Mus musculus: one gene and its partner. The protein of the gene in region 1 interacts with the protein of each later gene in a pairwise test. Links are inferred from orthologs where the notes say so. Each region holds a gene or a part of one and is shown on either strand. Other genes may lie near its edges.

What was found.
Region 2: the proteins of Ube2l6 (region 1) and Rnf144b interact in binary tests that used the Homo sapiens proteins (3 or more experiments, as listed by UniProt). The link is inferred for Mus musculus from reciprocal best matches to the Homo sapiens genes UBE2L6 and RNF144B.

Annotation. Positions count from the first base shown.
Region 1 is NC_000068.7:84,794,862-84,802,885, reverse strand, and holds the start of Ube2l6 (ubiquitin/ISG15-conjugating enzyme E2 L6), read right to left. Parts: upstream 4,059-8,024; 5' UTR 3,981-4,058; coding exon 3,954-3,980; intron 108-3,953; coding exon 12-107; intron 1-11. UniProt on the Homo sapiens protein: Catalyzes the covalent attachment of ubiquitin or ISG15 to other proteins. Functions in the E6/E6-AP-induced ubiquitination of p53/TP53. Promotes ubiquitination and subsequent proteasomal degradation of FLT3.
Region 2 is NC_000079.6:47,237,422-47,245,345, reverse strand, and holds part of Rnf144b (E3 ubiquitin-protein ligase RNF144B), read right to left. Parts: coding exon 7,745-7,924; intron 5,630-7,744; coding exon 5,485-5,629; intron 2,483-5,484; coding exon 2,393-2,482; intron 986-2,392; coding exon 845-985; 3' UTR 1-844.

The DNA of each region.
Region 1 (8,024 bases):
GGGACACTCACTGGCAGCAGGAGCATGTGCCACACAAGCACATTGGCATCGTCACTAGACAGTTGGCGAAGGTATGGCGGCAGCTCCTTCGAAAGACTCTCCAGCTCCTGTAGGGATCACAGCAAGGGTAGTAAGCCAAGTGCTCACAAATGCAGCCCCACCGCAGCAGCCCCACCTCGAGCCCAAACAGGAGATCCTAGGAGCAGAAAAAGAAAAGACAGAGACCCAACTTAGGGAGCGCTTAGCTGGTGTGAGACCCAGTACTGAGCGATGAATGAATGACCTGATTTCAGCCTCACCACAACCCTGTAGGCCCCAGTGTAAGGATTGGGTGGCCTCAAATATTCTCTCAAATATTAAGAACTCCGGGGGTAAGTAAATTCTTCTAGGAGCCTTCTTTCTGAAGGCAAGGTACTCAGTCCTCTTGCCCTTTCTCTAGAAAACTCACTGAGTCCTACTTCATCCCTCTCTCTTCAGTAATATGTGAGTTTTCAGCACTGGCAGAATGAACGGCAGAGACATCACGCATCCATCATCACCACCACCTTAGGGTGATCCAGGCTTCCCAGGTGAGAAACTGCACATCACCCATGGTAACTAGGGGACGAGAAGTGACACACCTTCTCAGAAATGTGGCTTAATCACCAGAGATCCCTGAGTTCTCTCAAGAGCAGTCTACTGAACATCGCTGGCTGACCCTTGACTAAGACAGAGTGCAGCCTCAAGAACGCCTTTGGAGTAATGGAGGGAACGAATCCAAGGCCATGAATAGTGTGAATGGCACATAACCAGGAAGGAGGAGAGTGGGAACACTCCACAGAGACTGTGTGCTGTGCTCAGAGATGGCTCTTGAAGAGTAGGTAGGAGCCCACCAGGCAGAAAAACAGGGAGCAAAGACAGAGAGCCCAGACAGGACAAGCATGTGCAGGTCCCCATGGAACACTAATAGCTACTATAGGAAAAGGGCTTTATGGCTAAGAACATTTGGGAAAGCTGAGTTAAATGGCTTCTTCACTGCAGAGCAACTCAAAGGTTTTGGGTTTGGTTTGGTTTGGTTTGGTTTGGTTATTGCAGTAGTGGAGATGGGACCAAGGACCTTGAGCAAGATAGGTGGTGCCCTACACCACACTCCCAGCACACTCAGGGTCCCCATTATACCATGGTGCATCTGACCAAGGGACCTCACCCACAGGACTCCAGTTCTTCTCATTTTGAGAAGGGGGTGGTGGTTTGAAAAACAGTCACATATTCAAGGCAACGCTGGGGACAATGAATAGATACAAACTAGTGGTTCTGATCCAGGGATGTGTTTACCTATCAGGACGCCTTTGCCAATATCTAGAAACGTTTTCTATTGTCACAGATGGGGTGAGTGCTGCCACAACCCAGCGGGTAAAGTCCACGCTGATGAAACATCCTAGCTACAGAGAATGATCTGGTCCCAAATGTCAACAGAGAGAAAGTTGAGAAAGGCCTGTGTACATGCAGGTAGAAAGTTCCCCTAAGCCAGGGGCTTGGGGGTGGGGTCCTTCACTGCTGTGCATCATCTGTACTCTGACCCCCAAGTATATAAGCACGCCACACTCCCATTCATCACTAAACCCATCTTCCATATGTAATCACACTAACAAATGGCTTCTCATGCCTTCTACCTACAGCCATGACCATTCATTGCCTATTCTATCTTACCACAAGCATAACCCATGCCATAGCTTGGGCAAGAACAAAGGCTTAGGTATAACATAGATCTTGAATGGACATTTTTCTGGGCTGAAGATGCAGCTCAGTTGGTAGAGTGTTTGTCTAGCGTGCACAAAACCCTGGGTTCAATCCTCAGCACTGTACAACACTTGATAAAGCAGTGCACATCCATGATCCCATGTCTTAGGGAATGAGATGGAGGCATAAGAATCCTGAAATTAAGCTGGTGAGATGGCTCAGTGGGGAGGTGCACTTGTTGATCTTCCAGAGGACTTGGGTTCAATTCCCAGCACCCACATGGTGACTGATGACTGTCTCTAGCCCCAGTTCCAGAAGATCTAATGCTCTCATTTGCTTCTGCTAGGCATGCAGGTAGTTAACAGATATATATGCAGGCAGGACATCCATACACATAAAATTAAATTAAATGATTTTTTAAAAATTAAAGGCCATTGTTAGCTGCATATCAAGTTTAAGACCAATCTGAACAACACAAAATGGTATTAAAAAAAAGTACCGAAGGGAAATTTTCTCTCTTAACACTTGAATTTTCTGTGTTTTGATGAATTCTGACGAACTTTCCATGATTGCTGAAACCCACACCAGTGCACACAGCTCCTCCCAAAGCCAGCTAGTAAGTCACCTGACTTAGGAGAAATGAAAGTGAAGGCAAACAGGCAGGAAAAGCCCTGTGAGTTAGACTCTTATCAGTCTGGGCTCAAATTCCAGCCCCATTACTTCTGCAGAATATCACTGGCCAGCCACGTTACTCTCCCTGATGTCTCAGTTTCCTCTTCCATGAAATGGGAAGACACAGTTATCTCACAGTTGTTCTAAGAGTTAAATAAAACAAACTGCCTGGTGCTGACAATTCCGGAGCAACAAAAGCCAGTCTACCTTTTAGCGTTGAGGTAGCAAATTACCCTTTGCCCCATTTAGTACCAGCCTAAAACCAACAAAGTTTAGTTCTGTTTTGGGTCTGCTCTGGACTTCTCCATCTCAAAAGAATTTTCTTTTTGAAAGATGAGGCCAGCTGGGTGGCACACGCCTTTAATCCCAGCACTGGGGAGGCAGAGGCAGGCGGATTTCTGAGTTCGAGGCCAGCCTGGTCTACAAAGTGAGTTCCAGGACAGCCAGGGAAACCCTGTCTCGGAAAGAAAGAAGGAAAGAAAGAAAGAAAGAAAGAAAGAAAGAAAGAAAGAAAGAAAGAAAGAAAGAAAGAAAGAAAGAAAGGGAGAGAGAGAGAGAGAGAGAGAGAGAGAGAGAGAGAGAGAGAGAGAGAGAGAGAAACATGAGGCCAGCAACCATCCCTTCTGTCTCCTGAGGAAGCCTTCCCCTCAATTCTGCAGACTAGAGGAGCACTTCGGGGAGACTCAAAGCCTAGCGGTACCAGCCCTGGCTCACGAGCATTTCTCCTCCACGATCTCTAATCCTGGCTCCATTCAGCGGTCTAGACATTCCTAAGGAAACTGCCCTTTTTTCATTCTTTCAGATAGTACCAAATAGTGTCTCATAGAAATGAACGTTCAAACGGAACAAGATTTCTGTTCCTTTTCTGCTCCTGCTGCCTGGCACTGGGCTAGTACAAAGTAGGCGTTTAGTAGCTGGAGCAGGACTGCATACAAATAACCTACTCAGAGCATAAATTGTTACTTCTCATCCAGGAACTAGTCTGTACGTTTTATTTCACGGTCTGTCCATTCACCACCCCACCGCCCAACATCACTCTTCTGTGGCCTCGGGTAATGTAGGTATCAAATTATGGGTGTATCCACTAGGCGGAGCAACAGAGCCCTTCCTGTGCCTTAGATAAGTTCCACTAATAAATTTCCAGCAGAAATTGAAAATGAAACCAGTTTGGAAAGCCCAATACATTGGAAACCATTTGGAAAGACCAGTTCATTCTCGTGGCCAGTACAGCTGATGACAACTTTTTTTGAAGCTGATGACAACTTTTTTTTCCAGACCTTCTCAATCAGGCCCCCTCCCTTCCTCCTCTCTTTCTCCCTCCTTCTCGCGCGCGCGCGCGCGCACACACACACACACACACACACACACACACACACCGCGCCTTTCTCCTCCCATTTCTCCATTGGGAAAAGGTGAGGATACCTGAGTTTCAGCCAGCCCTGGTACCCAAATAACAAAAAAAGCTCAGAGAGCAAGGGGGCAGGGGAGGGTTAGGGCAGGGCGGAAAGGTTAGGGCAGGGCGGGAAGGGGCACAAGGAAAGGGTCATCCTACATAGGCTTACTTTCGCCACTCGCTTGCTGGCCATCATCTCGGGTTGGAGCGTGGGGCACCAGCAGATTCCAGCAGGACACCGCTCTCTGAACTGCAGCTCCCGAGCCCCGCCCACGCTCCACTCCACCCACACCGACTCTAGCTGCAAAGACCTGCTCCCCACCCCTTTGGTGGATATCTGGAGGCTGCAGTCGAGTGCCCAGCTTGGCGATCTCGTATCTCAGCAACTCATGCTCCTTGCAGATCAGAGACTACGTCGGTGGAGCGCACTGCTCCTCTTGGTTCCTGCATCTTGCGGGGTACATCTCGTAGAAGCCAGGATGGGATTCATCTCCAGCCTCTGTCAGCTCCCCGGACGCTGAGAGCAAACTCGCCCAAAGCACAGATGAGATACTCTTGATGCAAAGTAGCTCCGGGGCAGGGCTCTCTGCGACCTCCGCAATGGAATTGTGAACCTACCACCTCTAAAGAAAGTCTCAGAATCCTGGGCCAAGTCACTTTGCCTTTGTGGGTTCAGTGCTCCGTTCTAAAAGAGAGTGGGGGGGGGGGGGTCAGTATAGACTTTATGTCCTCCGAGGACCGCTCCCTGAGTGGTACAGTCCAGCAGATGGGCAGAAACGCAGCGATGCTTCTTTTAGGTTGCTTGGTGCCCGAGCACCACTAGAGGACGCTGTTGGACTCATTCGCTTTTATTTTGGGCGTTCTGTGTTTTACTCTACTGAACACATAGAAAGTGTCTGCTGTGTGGCAATTTGGGAAAACGATGGGTGGCTGAAGCCTCGAGATAGATTTCAGGAGCCTATTATATTTTATCACCAACTGATTACAAACTATGGAACTACTGTGTGTCCAAATGAACAGCCAAGAAGTCTCTAGCCCTCTGCGCAAGAGTAAAGACCCCCCTCATCCCAGCTCAAGTCGAGGCCAAGGTGTAATAGCAGCCCCCAGCCTCTGGAAGAAGTTCTAGAGTTAGAAGGGAATCCACCTACCTGCCTCACCCATTCCAGCCCAGAAATTAGCATATTTTGAAGCCCAAGATTTTGACCCAGTAGGTCACATGATTTTTATTTTCCTGTCCAGGAACCAAATATCTGCTCTGCTTACATATAGGATGTGCTTGAAAAATGATTCTGGGGCTGGAGAGATGGCTCAGCAGTTAAGAGCATTGACTGCTATTACAGAGGTACTGAATTCAAATCCCAGTAACCACATGGTGGCTCACAACCATCTGAAATGAGATCTGACGCCCTCTTCTGGTGTGTCTGAAGACAGCTACAGTGTACTTACATATAGTAAATAAAGTAAATCTTGAAAAAGAAAAAAAGATTCTGGGTTCTTTTTTCAGTTCAATAACTTTAACCAGATACCTTCTAAATGCCAGCAATAAGCAGGACACCATCAGCAATCCCTAAATATAGTTTGGAGATAAGGGCATTTGAACCCATTTCTGGTTAGTAGTCTTAGTTAACACCAAGTGCCAGGTACTATCGATGGAACACATCAGATGGAGAAATTGTGGTGTTTGTCCTCTGAGGGGCTCTCAAGCAGTTGAAACACAGAGAGAAAATTTCCCTTCAGTATTTTTTACTTATTTATTTATTTATTTATTTATTTTCTATATATGAATAAATTGTAGCTATCTTCAGACACACCAGAAGAGGGCACCAGATCTCATTACAGATGGTTGTGAGCCACCATGTGGTTGCTGGGAATTGAACTTAGGACCTCTGGAAGAGCAGTCAGTGCTCTTAACAATTGAGCCATCTCTCCAGCCCCAGTATTTTTTTTTTAAATACCATTTTGTGTTGTTCAGATTGGTCTTAAACTTGATATGCAGCTAACAATGGCCTTTAATTTTTTAAAAATCATTTAATTTAATTTTATGTGTATGGATTCCTGCCTGCATATATATCTGTTAACTACCTGCATGCCTAGCAGAAGCAAATGAGAGCATTAGATCTTCTGGAACTGGGGCTAGAGACAGTCATCAGTCACCATGTGGGTGCTGGGAATTGAACCCAAGTCCTCTGGTCCTCTGGAAGATCAACAAGTGCACCTCCCCACTGAGCCATCTCACCAGCTGAACCTTTAATTTCAGGATTCTTATGCCTCCGTCTCATACCCTAAGACATGGGATCATGGATGTGCACTGCTTTATCAAGTGTTGTGCAGTGCTGAGGATTGAACCCAGGGTTTTGTGCACGCTAGACAAACACTCTACCAACTGAGCTGCATCTTCAGCCCAGAAAAATGTCCATTCAAGATCTGTGTTATACCTAAGCCTTTGTTCTTGCCCAAGCTATGGCATGGGTTATGCTTGTGGTAAGATAGAATAGGCAATGAATGGTCATGGCTGTAGGTAGAAGGCATGAGAAGCCATTTGTTAGTGTGATTACATATGGAAGATGGGTTTAGTGATGAAAGGGAGTGTGGGGTGCTTATATACTTGGGGGACAGAGTACAGATGATGCACAGCAGTGAAGGACCCCACTCCCAAGCCCCTGGCTTAGGGGAACTTTCTACCTGCGTGTACACAGGCCTTTCTCAACTTTCTCTCTGTTGACATTTGGGACCTGATCATTCTCTGTAGCTAGGATGTTTCATCAGCGTGGACTTTACCCGCTGGGTTGTGGCAGCACTCACCCCATCTGTGACAATAGAAAACGTTTCTAGATATTGGCAAAGGCGTCCTGATAGGTAAACACATCCCTGGATCAGAACCACTAGTTTGTATCTATTCATTGTCCCCAGAGTTGCCTTGAATATGTGACTGTTTTTCAAACCACCACCACCTTCTCAAAATGAGAATGATTCCGGAGCAACAAAAGCCAGTCTACCTTTAGCGTTGAGGTGTGTAGTTCTTTGAGTATGTAGTCCTGACTGGCCTGGAACTTGTTGGTGAACCAGGCTGACCTAGAACTCAGAGATCTGCCTGCCTCTGCCTACCAAGTGGTGGGATTAAAGGTGTGTGGCACTGTGGGAACTAAAAGGGGGACAGGGAAAAGAGGGGAGAGGGAGGATAGCCCATGCCTGGCCAGAGTTCCTCCTATGCTCTGAGGAGGAGGACGCAGGAGGGCAGCCAGATGCTTTCCACTTGGCCCTGAAAGAAAGAAAACTAAATTCAAGATTTCAAAACCCTAGCCAGAAAGTTTATTCAAGGTCCATGACTCATGTGGCTTGCTAGATAGGAGGGCTTTTTGGGCCTAGAGCAAAGAACAAAGGCTGTAAAGTCATCCCAGGAACCAACTAGCCATAAAGATAGGGAAGACATACAAGAATGTCCGGACTGGCCTGGCGCCTCCCTATCTCCCGCCCTTCTGACCTGAGTTAAATGATAACCAGATGCTCTGCTGTTATCTCAATCTGTGTGTACAGTCTGCCGATGTTTAAATGAACCAATCATGTGAAACCGTGCCTCCCCCAGACCCAGACCCTTTTCTATAAAAAACCCCAGCCACGTAGTCAAATCCACTGTCTCCTGCGTGAGATATGTTTCAACCCAGAGCTCCACCATTAAACTACCTCATGTATTTACATCAAGATGGTCTTTTCATGATTCTTTGGGTGCACACCGGGAATTGAGTGGGGGTTTCCCCACTAGGTTCTTTTAGCCCCAGGTGGGCATCTAAACCACCGACCCCACTCAACGAGGGGTAGACAAGGGGCAGCCCCCGGGGCCCCTGGGGTTATGGGAGAGAGGTTCCCACGCAGGCAAGAGTAAGAGCAGCAGGCCTTGATGAACAGAGACAGTCTATGGTTTTAGAGCTTTATTGTAGTAAGGCAGGGGGAAAGAGAGAAGGTAAAAGAGAGAGAGAGACTGACCATGGCCAAGAGGATAGAAGGGGGAAAAGGAGAGAGAGAGAAGAAAGGCTAGAGAGTAAGAGGGAGAGAGGGTAAGAGGGAGAGAAGAGAGGAGAGGAGAGGACAAGGAGAGAGAGAGGGGAGAGTAAGGGGAGTAAGAGCAAGAGAGTGAGGTGGGGCCAAGTTGCCACTCTTATGGTCTGCTGTTATCTTTACTGTTGCTCGGTAACTAGGGAGGAGTTTAGCCTGAAGGTCAGAAGCTTGGGACATTGTCTACGTG
Region 2 (7,924 bases), on another chromosome or scaffold:
AGGACCCTGCTGTCTACAAGGAAAGCTTTGGAGCTTTCCCCTTTCATCCCGTAGAAAACGCTTTTTAGAGACCACAGCTGCTGGCTGACTGTGAGCGGTGAACACTGGTTCACCTTAGAAGAATAACATCTGCCAAACAACAGACACTGAATGAGGCCATGTTGCCTTACAAGTTACAACCTCTTCCTGGGAAGGGACAACTCCCTCTGAACGGCAGTTTCTCCTGCCTGGAGATGAGATCACACGGGGAGAGAGCTGCTATGTTTCTGCCAAGTCACTGTGGAAACGCTAAGAAGTGCACACGCGGTAGCCAGCATAGGCATGCCAGTCAGTGTGTCAGCTCCTGAGATAAGCAGCGGCTCCACTGCTCACAGAACGTGTTATTATGCAGTATCATCCTTCCCTCCGGCTCTGGGCCTCTGCCATGTGTCTTGTGGCAGTGGAACCAACACAGACGTTTGCTCAGTTTGCAATGCTGCCAAGTGCGGCAATACCGCCATGACTACAGTGAGTATTCACCCAGGCTCCTTGGTTTGGATGGAAGATGAGCAGCCTGGTGGGATCCTTTGGAGGGTAAGATGGTGATGTTTTAGAGTCTCCCAGGCTAAAGCAAAGTTCCCAACCTGCTCCACAGACACAGTCCGGACTGTGGGGCTGCTTCTTGATACACAGGCACACTCATGCCCCGGTGCGTGGCCTTTTCCAACACCGAATGCTTTCAGGTAGGTTCAAAGTCTGGGCAGAGGCACTTCCAAAGTTTGGCAAGGAGAAGGAGGCAAGGCTGCTAAGTGGGGCTTTTACCAATGTGCTGTCTCATGTGACCCGGATGTCTGCGCAGGTGACTTTAGGTTGTGGATGGATCATGCTTTTTCTTCTTGCCGCGACAGGACTTGCAGACACAGCAGATTATACAGGGAGAGGCCAGGAGCAGCAAGGGTGAGGTCACCAAGGCAATGACACCTAATCCCACAAGGATCCCCACTACCTGGAAATTGAAGAGAAAACCCTATGTCAGCAGGTATGTCATCTGAGATGTATACATTCCCCCAAGTGTAACAACAGCCTCTACAGTCTGGATGCTGTGCCCACCCTGCCATGCCTGTCGAAACCCTAATACTCAGTGCGATGGCACTTGGAGTGGGGAGCCCTGGGTGACACTGTGAGACCCTGGTGACACTTGGGAGCCCAAGAGCTTGCCTCCATTCTTAGCTTTCTAGCATGGGAGAACACGGTGAGAAAGCTGTCATCTATGAACTGGGAAGAATGCTGTGAGTGTAACCTTCACGGCCAACTGTTCTGGATTCAGAGTCATCTAAGAGGCACACCTCTGCGTGGAGGGGGACATTTCCAGGCAGGGCTAACTGGGGAGGGAAGACTCGTGATGATGTTCCATAAGCTGGGCATTGGACTGACTGAATAACAAAATTTTAAAAAGAAGAAAGGCAGACCAATGCTATCCTATCCTCTCTCCCTGACTCCTGTTCTGCTGAGACATGAGGAGTCCCGACCTCAAGTTCCTACCACCATGAACTCTGCCATGCCCTCGCGGTCAGGACAGACTGTATCCCTTCAAACCATGAGCCAAATTATGCCCCTGCTTCTCTAAGTCCTGAGACAAGCAACCAACACAAGGACCCATTCGCAGACCCTGCCCACGCTGATACCTGGTCCTCAGACTGCCAGCAGCCAGGACAAGGATGAATCATCTCAGCTGTTTCAGTCACCCAGGCTATGATAATCTGTTAGGTGAATGGCTAGGATACTGTCTCAGGCAATTTTAGCAATGACATCGCTGGACACAAACTACAAAGGACTACATCGAGGGTGAGAGCAAACCAAATGTTAACACAAGCTGAACCATAAACTCTAAACTCTGAGCTGTGGCTGTTGGCTCGTTCTCTATTGGGGCTTCCTCAACAGTCTCACAGGGGCATTAATAATGATCATCGTTAGGATGTGAGCATTGGTTTCTTCAAAGGAAGCGTAGCCTTTGATAAACACAAAACACTATTAAAAAACAAACCACGATTCTCTTTGAACCTGCCACATAAACACACAATGGCATGTACTGAGGGATCTGAGGCCCTGCAGGAGCCCACAGCATTGGAGACTCTGCTTTGATGCTTAATATGCTCTAACTGCTTGTAGGAAACTCCTCCCATGTTTTGCAAGAGCAAAGAACAGGGGTATGTTCTTTGGCTGGTCACCCTAACGTTCTGCTCTCTGGTGCCTCTGTCCCTCAACAATTGTGCTCTTGACTTAACTTCAGGCCACAGCTCCATTGTTCTCTCTCTCCTCCTCCTCCTCCCAGAACCTCCCAGGAGGGCATGGGAAAGCAAGGAAAGCCATCCCAAGTCCAATGAATCTCACGTTCCCTTAAGGTGGAGCCTACCTGTGTTCGGTTCCACATTACCGATGCCCTCGAGTGGCCGAGCTTATTCCTGCATGGCCCTTTGTCATAGTGCCTGAGGAATATGTCATTCTGAAAAACAAAGAGAGGAGTTTCAGTCATCACACAATGTAGGGTGGAGAGGTGAGCATCAAGTGTGCAGTTCGCCTGATGCTATCAGTGACTTCCTCTAGGAATCCTGACAGGGGCAAAAGAACAAGGAATGACCTGCTCCACCATCTCAGGCAGGTAAGGGACGGTGAGCTCCGGCAGAGGTGTGCAATGGAATGGGAGAACCATAAGTCAGGAGCAAGCCTGGTGTGACCAATGCCAGCGACTGACAGGGGAAGCCAGTCACGAGGTAGAAAGAGAGTAATACACTAAATGAGGAAGCAGGAACAGGAATTATAGGAAAACTACTGAGGAGAAAGAAAAGAAATAACCCAGAGATGGACTTGTGGGTAAAGATGGACGTGCTGAACTTGACATCCAAACAACACACCCAGAGGCAGATCATTACTTATACCTGGTCTTCGAAGGAGGGGCCTGAATATCAGTTTACATAAAATGGGGGTGGGGCGAGTATCACAGAACTGAATAAGCTTGTGTAGAAGAAAAGTGGACTGAGGAGCAGATTTGTTCAGGGAAGACACGAACAGACAAGGAGTCTGGAAAAGACACTGAGGGACAGCCAGAAAGGTGAGGTCAGAGGAGCTAGGAGAAATGGCAGCTGGCCAAGATATCAAAATCTTGGGATATTGGGAAGTATACGGTCAGGATATGGCCGCATGGTCACTTGAGTGCCCAGTGCTAACTGGAGGAAGGCGGATATCAACAGCGAGAGGCAACTGGGTTCAATGGAAGCTTGGCTTGTGAAGAAGAGGGAGAGTAATCAGGGAGAGGACGACTGGTCAGCTTGAGAAGAGACCGGCTCCACCTGGAAACAGCACACGACAGACAGAACGAAATGGCAAAGGCGTACAAGAGAAGTTGAGATCACACGGAAGAGAGAAGACAACTGAAGGTGACAAGTCCCTGAGGCTCCATCTTGGCCTCTGACACTGCATGGCTGAACATGAAGCCAGGCGCAAACACAATGCCCAGCACACTCAGTCTCCGTTTGGGGCTGTCTCAGGCTTGGGCTTTAGAAAAACAATCCCCCTTTCTCTGTCCCAGGTTCTCAACCTTCCTACAAACACATCAATACCATGTGGCATAGAACACGGCCCTGTAGAGAGACTCCCTTGTGTGCTGTGTGGAAGCATCACCTGTCAACAAAAAATTGATGGCCTGCTAGCAAAAGGTGGGAAGCAGAAGGTGGGGTTTCCAGTGAAGAGATAGGAACTCTGGGAGTTAGTTAGTCAGGCGCAGGAAGATTTGCCCTGGACTCTGAGGAAGTCTGATGTATGACACTGAGGAGTGGTAACTAGCCGTGTGGCAGACATAGAATAGAATAAATGGGTTGGTAAGCTGCCAGCCCAAGCTTACTTTATTCATACATAAATAAGCCCCTGGGGTGTTTATTTAGGAACTGGGGTGCAGGTGGAAAAGCCCGAGGTGACACTGCCCCACAAGCCAATGCCCTCATCTGAGAATATGCCTATACAGAATCTGGCAGTAGGTAAGCCTGTGCGGGTACTTCCTTAATTAGTGATTGATCATGGGAAGGACCGGCCCTTGATGGTGCCACCGTTGGGGTGGCAGTCCTGCATTCTATAAGAAAGCAGGCTGAGCAAGCCATGAGGAGCAAGCCAGTCAGTAAGCAGCGCCCTGCCATGGCTTCTGCATCAGCTCCTGGCTCCAGATCCCTGTCTCTCGTGAATTCCTGCCCTGACTTCGCCTGATGATGTGGGAGAGTAAGCTGAATAAACCCTTTCCTCCCTCTCCGAATGTCTGTGGTGTTCCATCACAGCAATAGAAACCCTACCGAAGACGAGCGTGACTGAGGTCTTACACCAATATGAACACACATTATAGCTTCAGACAGGGGTATCCGTAAACAGCTTGTGCCACCTCAAACTTTAAAAGACTGAGACTGGAGGACACCCTTGTTACCCACCGTCCCACAGCTGAGATCACTGTTCACTTTGGCAGAATTTGGGAAGACACACTCTTGGGTGGAGAAGGAGACTAAGCAACAGACAGGCGTCAGGATCTAGTAGTAAGTGGCAAGGCAGCAGGGCTTCCCTGTCACGCCAGCCACCAGAACAGCCTTTCTGATCGCAATAGGCAGAATGCCCCCTTGGAGACACACGTGGCGGAGTCTCCAGTAACTGTCTGCATATGTCACTATGTGAAGGACCTGGACGTGGGGGAGGTTACCCTTGGTGGTTGCAATGGCTCCCATCTCATTTCATGGTTCTTTATCGAGAGGAAATGCATCCTGCCTGTGGTCAGCGGGAATGAGGACCACGAGGAGATCAGAGAGACGTGATGAGCCTAGCTACGCAAGCAACCCCATCTCTAGGAGACAGAGGAGCAAAGACATGGATTCTCATCCAGCATCTTCAGACAGCAGCACTCCAGCCCTGTCAGGATCATGATCCAGTTATATATATATATCACATCAGGCTGCTAAGGTACGACATAGACACTAATTCTCTGCTGTTTTAAGCCAGAACGTTTGTGACCATTTGTTACAACGGTATAAAGCAAACACTTAGACAGCTATTTACACAATAGAGATAATTTCCTCTAGAGCACAAAAATGTCCCAAAAACATTTCAGACAAAAATATGTCTGAAAGCTATGACGACACACAGAGGTTTCATGGTGTCTGAAGTAGCAACGGGGATGGGCTGTGACTCGGCAGCAAGGTGCTCGACTAGCGCTCACAATGATTGAGTCCAAGGCCCATGAAACCAACAAAAACAAAGGGGAGGAGGAAGTGAGCAGAGGTCAGAGAAACAGGGAGGGGAGAAGAAGGACAGGGAGGTTAGGAAGGACAAGTTGGGCTCAGGGAATCTCAAAAAAAAAAATTCCTTTTGCAGGATAGTAAGAGGCCCCATTGCTAAAGGGAAGGACTGTGCGGCTGGCTCAGACAGTGGCACAGACACAGCAAAGGTAATGACAAGCCCCTTCCATGGAGAACTCACGTCCAGGTTCTGCAGACAGTACCAGCAAAATGTGTGCTTGCAGTTCTTGCACATCATCTGGGCGCAGCCTTCGTTGCGCTCAATGTAAATGCGGCAAACCGGGCACTGCTTGATGGGGGCGTCCGCATCCGTTCCAAAGAGAGCCCTAGGACAAAACAGATGAGACGTGTTCAGTCAGGGTCACCTGCGCGATGGCCAGGGCTGTTGGGTGGCTAGTTAGGAAATCTCTCAGTTTGTCATGTTTAACTCACTTCCAAAGGTGTGGGAGACATGGATTATTAGTTGTTCAGAAAGCCCAATAAGAAGGAATTTATTTATTTTGGCTCCTAATGAATTATATAATTACACTTTCTACAGCTGGCTGCTTTTAGTGCTTTGCCAAATTAATACTTCATCCCTAATCACACAGCCTCTAAATAAGAAGTACATAGAGGGAGCTAGACTGTGAGAAAACGCCAGCTCAGGATCCAAATGAGATGCAGTATAGGTAACGACGGCATGGCTAAGTAAGGGTAAGGGCTGGGGTTTAGCTAGAGATCCAACACTCAAAGAGATGCCAACAATGACTGGAAAGACCTCCTCCAAGTTGATGAAGAGGCCCGTGTGTGACCACAGCAGAAAGGGACACAGAGCCAAGTGGTTCAAGTCAGGATAGGAGGGAGTCAGAGTACCCCACTATACACCAGTGACTGGGTATCAAAATCACCACCCAGCACACAGAAGCATCCCTGTTTACAAAATGTGGACAAATCTAGGTCAGATGAGGTGCTGGGGATATCCTTACATAGTGAGACATTATTTCTGATTTAATATTCTCCTCTGGGCTGGTGAGATGGCTCAGCAGGTAAAGGGACTTGCTGCCAAGCCTGTTGATCTGAGTTCAACCCCTGGGACCCAGGTAGAGAAAGGAAAAAACAAAGCAAAGCAAAGCAAAGCAAAGCAAAGCAAAGCAAAGCAAAGCAAAGCAAAGCAAAGCAAAGCAAAGCAAAGCAAAGCAAAGCAAAGCAAAGCAAAGCAAAGCAAAGCAAAGCAAAGCAAAACAAAACCAACCAAAAACTCTCACAAGTTTTCCTCTGAGATCTACATATGACTTACAGCACAGTCTATCTACACATGTACACACACACACACAAACACACACACACACACACACACACACACACACACACACAGAGTCAATATAGTAAAATATTTAATGCCCTTTTCCCAGTGGGGATGCAGGCTCATAAGAGGCTGAATGTCTTACGTGAGCCCGCTTGGATGCCAAGAACAGTATCAGAACTCAGATTACCCTTTTCCTGAGCCCCTTAAACCAGCTCTTGGGGCTAACCACTATGGAAGGGCCTGCCTTAAATCTGACGGGGACGGCGCATGGCAGCGCGTGGAACAGACTCCTTTTTTTTCTGTGCTCCGTCTGATACCCAGGCACGGCACCATAGCCAGGCAGCGTGATTGTTCCTGAAGACCAGTTCTGCATGCTCTGAGGGCACCGGGTGAGTAAGCCAACTGGCGGGGGAATACTGATTGTTTTGTTCTTGCTCGTGCAGAACAGCCTCCAGCAAAGTATGGGACCCAACGCGAAGGTCTCCAGCTCTGCTCCTGGCTGCCACCATAAAAACCTTCCATACAAGACGGCACCCGGCGGTTGAATTGCTTCTCCACCTGTAACGAGATCTCAGCCCTGGTGCCAAGTTCTCATAGCATAAAGCATTAGGGGAGAATCTCCCTGTGTTTTCTAAGCATTTGGGAAGACGGTGTATATGTCTGTGCACTCTGTGGGGTCGGCATACTCTAATGAACAGGCCATTTAATGGGATAAGATCACAGCCGTCTTATTTTCTAAACAGGAAGAATGGGCTACACCATGTACATTGAACATGGCTTCTTAGCAAATATATATATATATATATATATACACACACACACACACACACACATATATATATATATATATGTATATATGTACATACATACATACATACACACATACACACATACATACATATGGGAACTACAGAACTTGATGCCTCTCTACCCCAAGGGAATGGACTCACCATGATCTGGAAGGTGCCCTTAGGATAAAGAGCTAGAATCCCTTTCAGACATCCTGTACTGGTTGGTGCCTGTGGCCACCTTACTCGTTCTTCTTGAGGCATTTCTACAGTAAATGTCTAAGAGTCATCTAATTTCTTCTCACAGCAGCTTATGCTGGGTTTGAAAAGAACACTGGGAACAGCCCCAGACACACCTCCTCCCTTACCCATGCTCTGGCATCGCCGACTGGCTGTCTCTACAGGAAGACTCCTCGTGCCAAGCATCCTTGCAACATGAGCAGAATTTCAGGTGGCAAGAAGGGCACTCCACCAACACTGGCTGGCCTGGGTCTCCGGCTGAAATATGGCACACGGTCTGGCAGTCTGCAACAGGACACCATGTCCGG